2 linked regions of the Nothobranchius furzeri genome follow. The protein of the gene in region 2 purifies or fractionates together with the protein of the main gene of each other region. This does not show direct contact. Links are inferred from orthologs where the notes say so. Each region holds a gene or a part of one and is shown on either strand. Other genes may lie near its edges.

Region 1 (3,753 bases), on a different chromosome or scaffold from region 2:
ATCTGCACTTGTCTTAAAATGTGAACTCTAGCTATTTTAAGCATCACATGATTGCTCTGCTATTACGAGTTATGGTTTTGAGTATTTATTTCAAAAGTTCGTTCGTTCAAAACATAGAAGTAAGGAGAATTTGAGTAAAGTGAACACAGATCATTTTACAAGGTCTGGTGTGTCAAGTGTGTTTGTGGCATCATTTGACTTTTTTTGGTGTATTTTTTTTATAACTGCAAATGATAAATACAAGTGTGTCCTAACTGAAGAAGTAATCTAGTTAAATACTTGGGAATTAAATATTGACCAAAAACACAATATTTCTGATTATTATTCACAATTGAGCAGCCCTATTCTTTATGTGGCTTGTTATTTACTGATACAGCCTTTGAGTGATTGCTTTTGGCCACATCTGGTGCTAATCAGACGGATTTCTGACTCCAAGAGTTTACAAAGTTATTTATCCTTTAAGGGAGTTACCTGTGTCATCCTTTGCAGTGGTGTCTTTCTCCTCTGTGACAGCTGTCATCTCTGAGTCCTGTTGCTTCTCTAGGCCGCCTTCCTCCTGGTCTGCAGCAGATTTCTCTGGATCATTCACACCTAGAGCCTCAACACCCTCTCTAAGAGAAGAGTTGGTGACTTCAGTCTGCATCCTACCTGCTGCTGGACAACTTTAATAGGATCTGCGAAACAGCAGCATGTTTGATAATAATTAGCAATGGGAGATAATGGCAGTTATTATTTACACGGGTAACGAGTCAAGTTACGCCTGTTACTAAAGCGTAATAAGCAATTTGAGAATATTTAGGTTTATTTGTTTTATTCCTACTGGGCTAGCTAACGTCAAACCGCACCGCAGAAATAAAGGAAATCCTTCATTGTTATTACCGATTTGTCGTGAGTCAGCGTTGGTCACGTTAAAATTTGATTTTAAAGTAATTCCCAAGTGATGGGATCATCATAGCTCTCCATGAGGCTAGCTAAGTGCATTAAAAGATTCAACATGGACATAAACATAGCGCCATTTTGGCTGAATAGGTTGCTTGACGATGTTGTCGCGTTTAACCGGGCTCCAAATCCCGCTGATTTAAATGCGTATGGCTAAGTCATTCCAGGGCTTCTACTGTCTAAAATGTGAAAGGAGATGAAGTGGAAATCTACGCTAAACGTAACTTCCTGTTAGCTGTGCCGTGGCTAAACGACTCGTATTGTTTGGAGGGGAAAAGTAAAACCTCTTTAATTTAACTTTTACTCAATATACTAGTTTTTAAAATATACTATTAAATACAACAAAACTACAATTATGTTTTATGAATTATTTAGCGCTTAATGAGATCGCTGAAAGGCGCCAGCGTTCACGCGAGCTCTGATTGGTTAAAACCCATTTCCGGTCTCAGTCTTTTCGTTTAAAATTTTTTCAGTTAGAAGTTTTGGCCCATCGCCATTGTTAAAAGGAGAAGCTGGGAATGTTTGGACGATAAAAACGCGTTTTTTGGAAGACGTTTTTAACGGTAAGCTTTCCCCAATAAACTTAAAAAAGCGGAGTGGCAGATTTCGAGGAAACATTAGTTTGGAAACAACATTACCTCCTTTCGTGTGTTTGCTTCTCGTGACGCAATGATGAAAACCTAGAGCTTACCTTCAAATACTCCATTTATGCTCTGTTCATGCATTTACTGGTGTGTATTATACTAAATATTCGCGTGGCATAGAGTTTGATAAAGTGGATGAACATCACTCTGGCTTTTTCGTTATCCAGGCCTTTGTTTGTGTGAAGATGGCGCAGCGTGTGTTGGTAGCAGATGGTGGAAACAAGAAGACCTCCCGGGTTCGGGTAGCGGTTCGTCTGCGGCCTTACATGAGCAAACAAGATGATAAACACGAGGGTCCGTGTGTCAGAGGCCTGGACTCCCAGAACCTGGAGATAGTCAACTGGAGGAATGCAACAGAAACTGTGAAATACCAGTCAGTATCACTCTCCCAAGTGTCCTCCTCTCCTCACGACATTTGACTCTAAACATGGTTTGGTTTTTGTTCCAGCTTCGATGTTTTCCACGGAGAGGACACAACACAGGAAGAGGTTTTCCTCTCATCAGTGAAGTCGATTCTACCAAATATACTGAAAGGACAAAACGCCAGCGTGTTTGCTTATGGGCCAACAGGAGCTGGTGTGTTCTGGTGCCATTGTCACTGGAATAAGTGTGTTTTTCTTCCTAACATTAACCTGCATGGCTTCATTCACAGGTAAGACTCACACCATGTTGGGAAGTCCAGAGCAGCCTGGCGTGATCCCTCTAGCTGTTGAGGAGGTCTTTAATCTGGTCCGAGCCACGGATCAGGATGAAGGATGGGACTACAGCGTAGGAATGTCATATTTGGAAATTTATAATGAAAAGGTTTGTTTGTCCCGGTTACATCATTACTGTATGCACAGTGGTCTCCAGTCTCCTCAGGTTGGGAATCACTGTACAGATGAAGCTCAAAATATTAGAATATGATGCAAAAGCAGATTAAAGGTGAAACTAATACATTAAAAAAAACTTAATTACATGCAAAGCCAGATATTTCAAGCCCTTGTTATAACTGATGATTATGGCTTACAGCTTAATGAAACCCCACATTCAAAATCTCAGACTATTAGAATATTGTGAAAAGGTTCAATATTCTAGACTCATGCGCAAATAACCTGTGAAAATAATTGAAGACATCATGCTAGATCAGCAGCCTGTGATGACACCTGGTTCTGCTCACTGTAGGAGCCGCTTTAGAATAAATAAATATAATAATATACCAAAAATGAATCAAACCAAGCTCTTCAAAACACCGAACTGAATACTATTTTATCGTTACCGCACCGTTACACCCCTAAAATCTTTAATTACACACATAAACCACCTGGTACACTCAGACAAAATGACATTACACACAGATCAGTTTACAAGTACAACAATCCTTTTGAGACTCTTTTCTCACCTGACTGATTTGTGTGTGTATGGTGCATTTGAATACTGGGTGGAAGCTGGGAAATCTGAATTTCCTTTGGATTTAGTTTAAACTTGTGTTGACGGGACAAATGTGTTTTTCTGTGGAAAAACAGAGTACCGTAAATCCTCTAATATTGGCCTGTATTCAGTTAACTGCCGGGTATCACATTTTGGCCGGTGTCTGAGTTGGCGGAGGTGAATAATGGTCGGTTTTTTATTGTGGCCAGGTGAAATGTGGTAACAAGCAAGTACCACGAGGGGGGGGGGGGGGGCGCGGTTGTGTCATCGTCTCACTTTTGATTTGCCAGTGATAGACTGCGAGGGTAACTTTAACGGTGCGGAGACGAAGAGGAGGCGAAAATTTGATATCAAGTTCAAAGAGAACGTGCTGATTATACTGCAGAACACTCTGGGGAGCAGTAGCAGGGGTTGTATGAACTAGTCACTAGTCGACTTCACTATAGTGACTTTTTATGCCTGTCATCGACTAGTCGCTGTCACGTGATAATGACCGGCAAGATGTAGTCCACGGAAAAGACAGCAGCCTGCTGTCAGCAGGTGACAAGCTCCTGCGTGTCGGGAGGCGACGCACTGTGCCAGAGCGTCGGTACTGACACCCGCCGTAAAACGGACATTTAACCAAATTGTGACCTTTACCCTCTTGCAATTTAACATTCCCCTCACCCCCATCCTACCCTTAACTAGCTTGCGCATGCAAAGCTCTGATTGTTGACGTGCTCCAGACATCTGCGTCCTGAGTAACGTTATCAAATCAGGT
Region 2 (3,753 bases):
GAAAATCGACAGCACTTAGCGGCCATCGGCTGTCCAGGACCTCCAGATATCGGCAACAGAAAAACTCAAATCGGTCAATATCCAATAACTAACGCTATCATCTATTTGACGTTGTTTATATGTTGTCAGAAGTTTAAAACTGATGTGCGTTCTTTGCTGTTCCAGAGTCAGAAACAGATCGGCCTTACGCGGACAGATTATGTGCGTGCATTTGCTTGTGTGTTCCTGAATACTGTCGTGTGAATCTTTTCTCACCTTTCTCAACTCAACTGTCACTTCGTTTCGATGTCTTCTCATAGTCTGAAACGGGAGAAAATACAAAGAATGTGAACAAGATTATATAGTTTCACACTGGCATTTAAGTGTGATGGAAGTCTTACAAAACAACAAGAGATAAAAATGTAACATGTTACAATAAATGACCGTATCTTTGTGTTTGAGGTGAAAATCAACTCATTTTAGTCCAGGTGATGAGAAACTGTTTAATAGTTTTGCTGTATAAGTGCATCTGTTGGGTTTCTCGCTCATCCAGAGCATTTTGAGATGGTCTAAGATCTTGTGACTGTTAAAGAGGTTCATGTTGCCATCCTAAATAGCCTCTTACGTAACTTTGGGCTGTCATAACAGAGAAGCGGCTCCAGACCACTGCAAAACAATGATAATGCCAGGGGTACTGATCCGAACTAAACTGCTTCTTAAATACAGATGTGAATTATCACATGATTTCAGCAATGCTCACATTTCATCTGTCGAGCAAAAGATTTCAAAACTCTAATTAATGGAATACTTTTTCAATATTCAAAACTAAGATACTAAGTCTGGGTGTGGGACCTCATTCAGTTCAATAGGTGTTAAAAATGAAATGCACTCTTTTGCAGCTGACCTAAAACAAATTTGCTGTAGTCTGAGTCACCCACTTTCAAAAACCCAATTTCATGCCGAGGTTCTGAGAAGGACTGGGTCAGACTTCCAAGATGCCTGAAATAGCATCAGGAATGCACTTTGGCAGAGGCTCGATCCCAGTAGCCATGTGCTTGTCGAACACACACTTCCAGTTTCAAAACAACCAATACAGGCACCACTCTGATGGTGAAACTCCCGTCTGGTGAATTTGGAAAGGGCATTCTCAGACATACCTTTGTTTGTGGATTATCTTGGGATTACCGATAAATTAGAACAACACTAAAACAAGTATGTTTTTGTTAGTAATCCCCCCTGTGGCTGAGAGAAATGCCCTAAAAGAAAATTGTTTACATTTCACAGATAATTTGAACAAGTCCAGAGTAGATTAGTCATTTGATTTGAACATTTTTTAACCCAGAAATGATAGATTTGCTATTTTTTGTTTGTTTAAACTTGAAACAAATCCTTTACCAACTGCTTTGGCTACAGTGTCAATGAGCAATTTAGACAAATTCAGTGAAAGATGCAGCATTTTAGATATGCTAGTAGGTACACAAAATAAATCTAGTGTTTTCTAGAATGTGACTTACAATAAAACGGTAAACTACATTTAAATTTTTACAGAAATGCTGAGTTAGGGCATTTGTGATTCGACATAACCTTTTACTACAGGTTATAGTTAACAGAATGGCTAGCTTGTTATCCTTTGCTTTTGTGAGGAAAGTCACCTAATTTAATGGTGACTGAAAATACAAATATTTAAAGAAAAACAGATAGACACAACACTAGCTGCTCGGTTGGCAGGCTCGCGTTTGCATGCTAACGAGGAGGGGTGGCTAGGGTAAACGAGCACCCGTCACCGATCCACCCAAATCACACTTGTCCATATAATATTGATTATATGTGACGTTCTTTGGTTAGCATTTTTGTTTACAGTGGGGTGGCATAAAAAGATTGGAAATATCGCGATTTTGAAGCCGGGTAGGCCCCGCCTCGCTTGAGACCGGTGTCCATCAAACTAGCTAGCTAAAGTTAGCTAGTGTCGTGTCGAAAAAAGTACACCAGTCGCCAAAGAAACCCATCATGGGAAGCGTATTTAAGGACAGCTTGTTAGGATTACTTAAATTATCGTTACATTTAGACCTAAATTTGTAATATTCTTAACGTTCAGAAACGAGATAAGTTGCTTTAGTCACTGGGTAACGTCTATTTATGGCCAAGATTTTTTTAAACGTACATTATAGGGGGAAAAAAACAATGTACATTATGATGCATGATTTCGAAGACTTCCAGGGTAAAAAAAAAACTGCATCCTAGCAGCCTACCTCAACATAACTACTGCGAATACATCATTACAATCTAATTAACTGCATAGCTTTACAGAATAAACGATACTTGACTTATATGTGGAGAAAACGTGGTTAATTTAGTTAAGTAAAACAAACCATGGTTTAATTTATAACGCATTTCCGACTAGTGTGCTTTTAATGGCAGGGGTACCTTTTTCGTTAAAACACCGGCACTGACAGCTACATCGCCTGCCCTAATTCTCATAGTTCTAAAAGCCCAACTATGATCCAGCTTTCAGTCACAGTGGTTGCTGAGGTTTATGACTTATCCACGCTGAAGTCCATCACAGCTGTCGTCTTTAAGAGTTTAATTTTCATGTAATGAAATCTTTGATGGCGACCACCCTGTGGTAGCTTAGCTAACAGGCAGGCTGGGAAGTTTCAGCCGGGGCCAGGCTACCAAGCAAGGCCTGACGGTAGTCGGCTTTTCCCATCTACATTAAAATATTAAGATTAAAGACATTTAAACGCATATCCTCAAAAAGAGCTCACCTCGACATCACGTCCCTTATTTTTAAAGCTCTTGATGCGGTGGTTTTCCAAGCCGGCGTTGTCTGCCATGGCTGTACGGGGTTTGGATTTTACTCCGGCTGTCTGTATCTCCTCCGTGAAAGACGAGGCACGGCAGCTCCTGTGCTGCTGCGGCTGGGCTGGCTCCGGAGAGGAGGAGGAGATCGCAGAGTGGGGGGAGGAGTTACATCGGCTGTCCTGGTTTCCAACACCTGAGATCAAAGCAAGCAGATGAACTGGAAATTGATGCCATGGTGCCTAATAAATCTTTATTACAATAAAAAGTCGTTTGGTAGCTTTTTGGAAAGTGTGCACCCTTCTACGTTCTACATGACAGTGGATACTTCTCTCTTATTAGGAAATCCAAAAGAAAAGGGTTCAGCAATCAGTTTGTTACATTATGCATGAGTAGTGCTGGGCAACAAATCGAAAATGTATCATTATCAAAAATTCTGACTCTTATCGAGATCATTTTTCCCATGTTAAAAATTTGATAGTAAAAAAATGAAAAGATGTGTGTAAGTTGGCAACATTCATGTCCCTTTGAGTCACGTAAAAATTTGACTCAACGTCATACAAGTGAAAGCCCCATCTAGTGGACAACTTTTGTTTCTGTACATACCTGTAATTATCGTCCATTTATCGGTATCGAGGTAAAATCCTCGAAGTATCGTGATATTGATTTTAGGCCACATCGCCCTGGCACTCAGGTTGTGGAAAAGGACAACTGTGATTGGATTGCAGACTTTTAAAATATATTTTACAGCTGCCCTGGTCAAGGAGAGAGAACAGCTGGAAACAACGCTTCCACAAACACACAAAAAAACAATTAATTGTCAGAAATTAGAAAGGCATCAAACACATGGAGGTAATTTTGGCGGGGGGAGTGGGGGGGGGACAGGGAGACATGTCCCCCCTACTTTTTCCAAAGTCAAGTTTTGACCCCTGCACTTTTTACCTTCCAAAAACAATATTACGCTGTATTAAATTG

What was found. Proteins that work in one complex are often made in the same cells at the same time.
Region 1: the proteins of kpna3 (region 2) and kif22 purify together in Homo sapiens (affinity purification with mass spectrometry; 3 studies listed by BioGRID and IntAct, counting the BioPlex papers as one, with this or other methods). This does not show direct contact. The link is inferred for Nothobranchius furzeri from reciprocal best matches to the Homo sapiens genes KPNA3 and KIF22.

What each region holds. Positions count from the first base shown.
Region 1 is NC_091756.1:34,663,515-34,667,267, forward strand, and holds the start of kif22 (kinesin-like protein KIF22), read left to right. Parts: upstream 1-1,377; 5' UTR 1,378-1,502; intron 1,503-1,750; 5' UTR 1,751-1,768; coding exon 1,769-1,956; intron 1,957-2,031; coding exon 2,032-2,159; intron 2,160-2,235; coding exon 2,236-2,387; intron 2,388-3,753. Other genes in the region: pagr1 (PAXIP1-associated glutamate-rich protein 1), read right to left, coding at 472-643. UniProt on the Homo sapiens protein: Kinesin family member that is involved in spindle formation and the movements of chromosomes during mitosis and meiosis. Binds to microtubules and to DNA. Plays a role in congression of laterally attached chromosomes in NDC80-depleted cells.
Region 2 is NC_091754.1:26,747,579-26,751,331, forward strand, and holds the start of kpna3 (importin subunit alpha-4), read right to left. Parts: upstream 2,946-3,753; 5' UTR 2,814-2,945; coding exon 2,745-2,813; intron 301-2,744; coding exon 256-300; intron 1-255. UniProt on the Homo sapiens protein: Functions in nuclear protein import as an adapter protein for nuclear receptor KPNB1. Binds specifically and directly to substrates containing either a simple or bipartite NLS motif.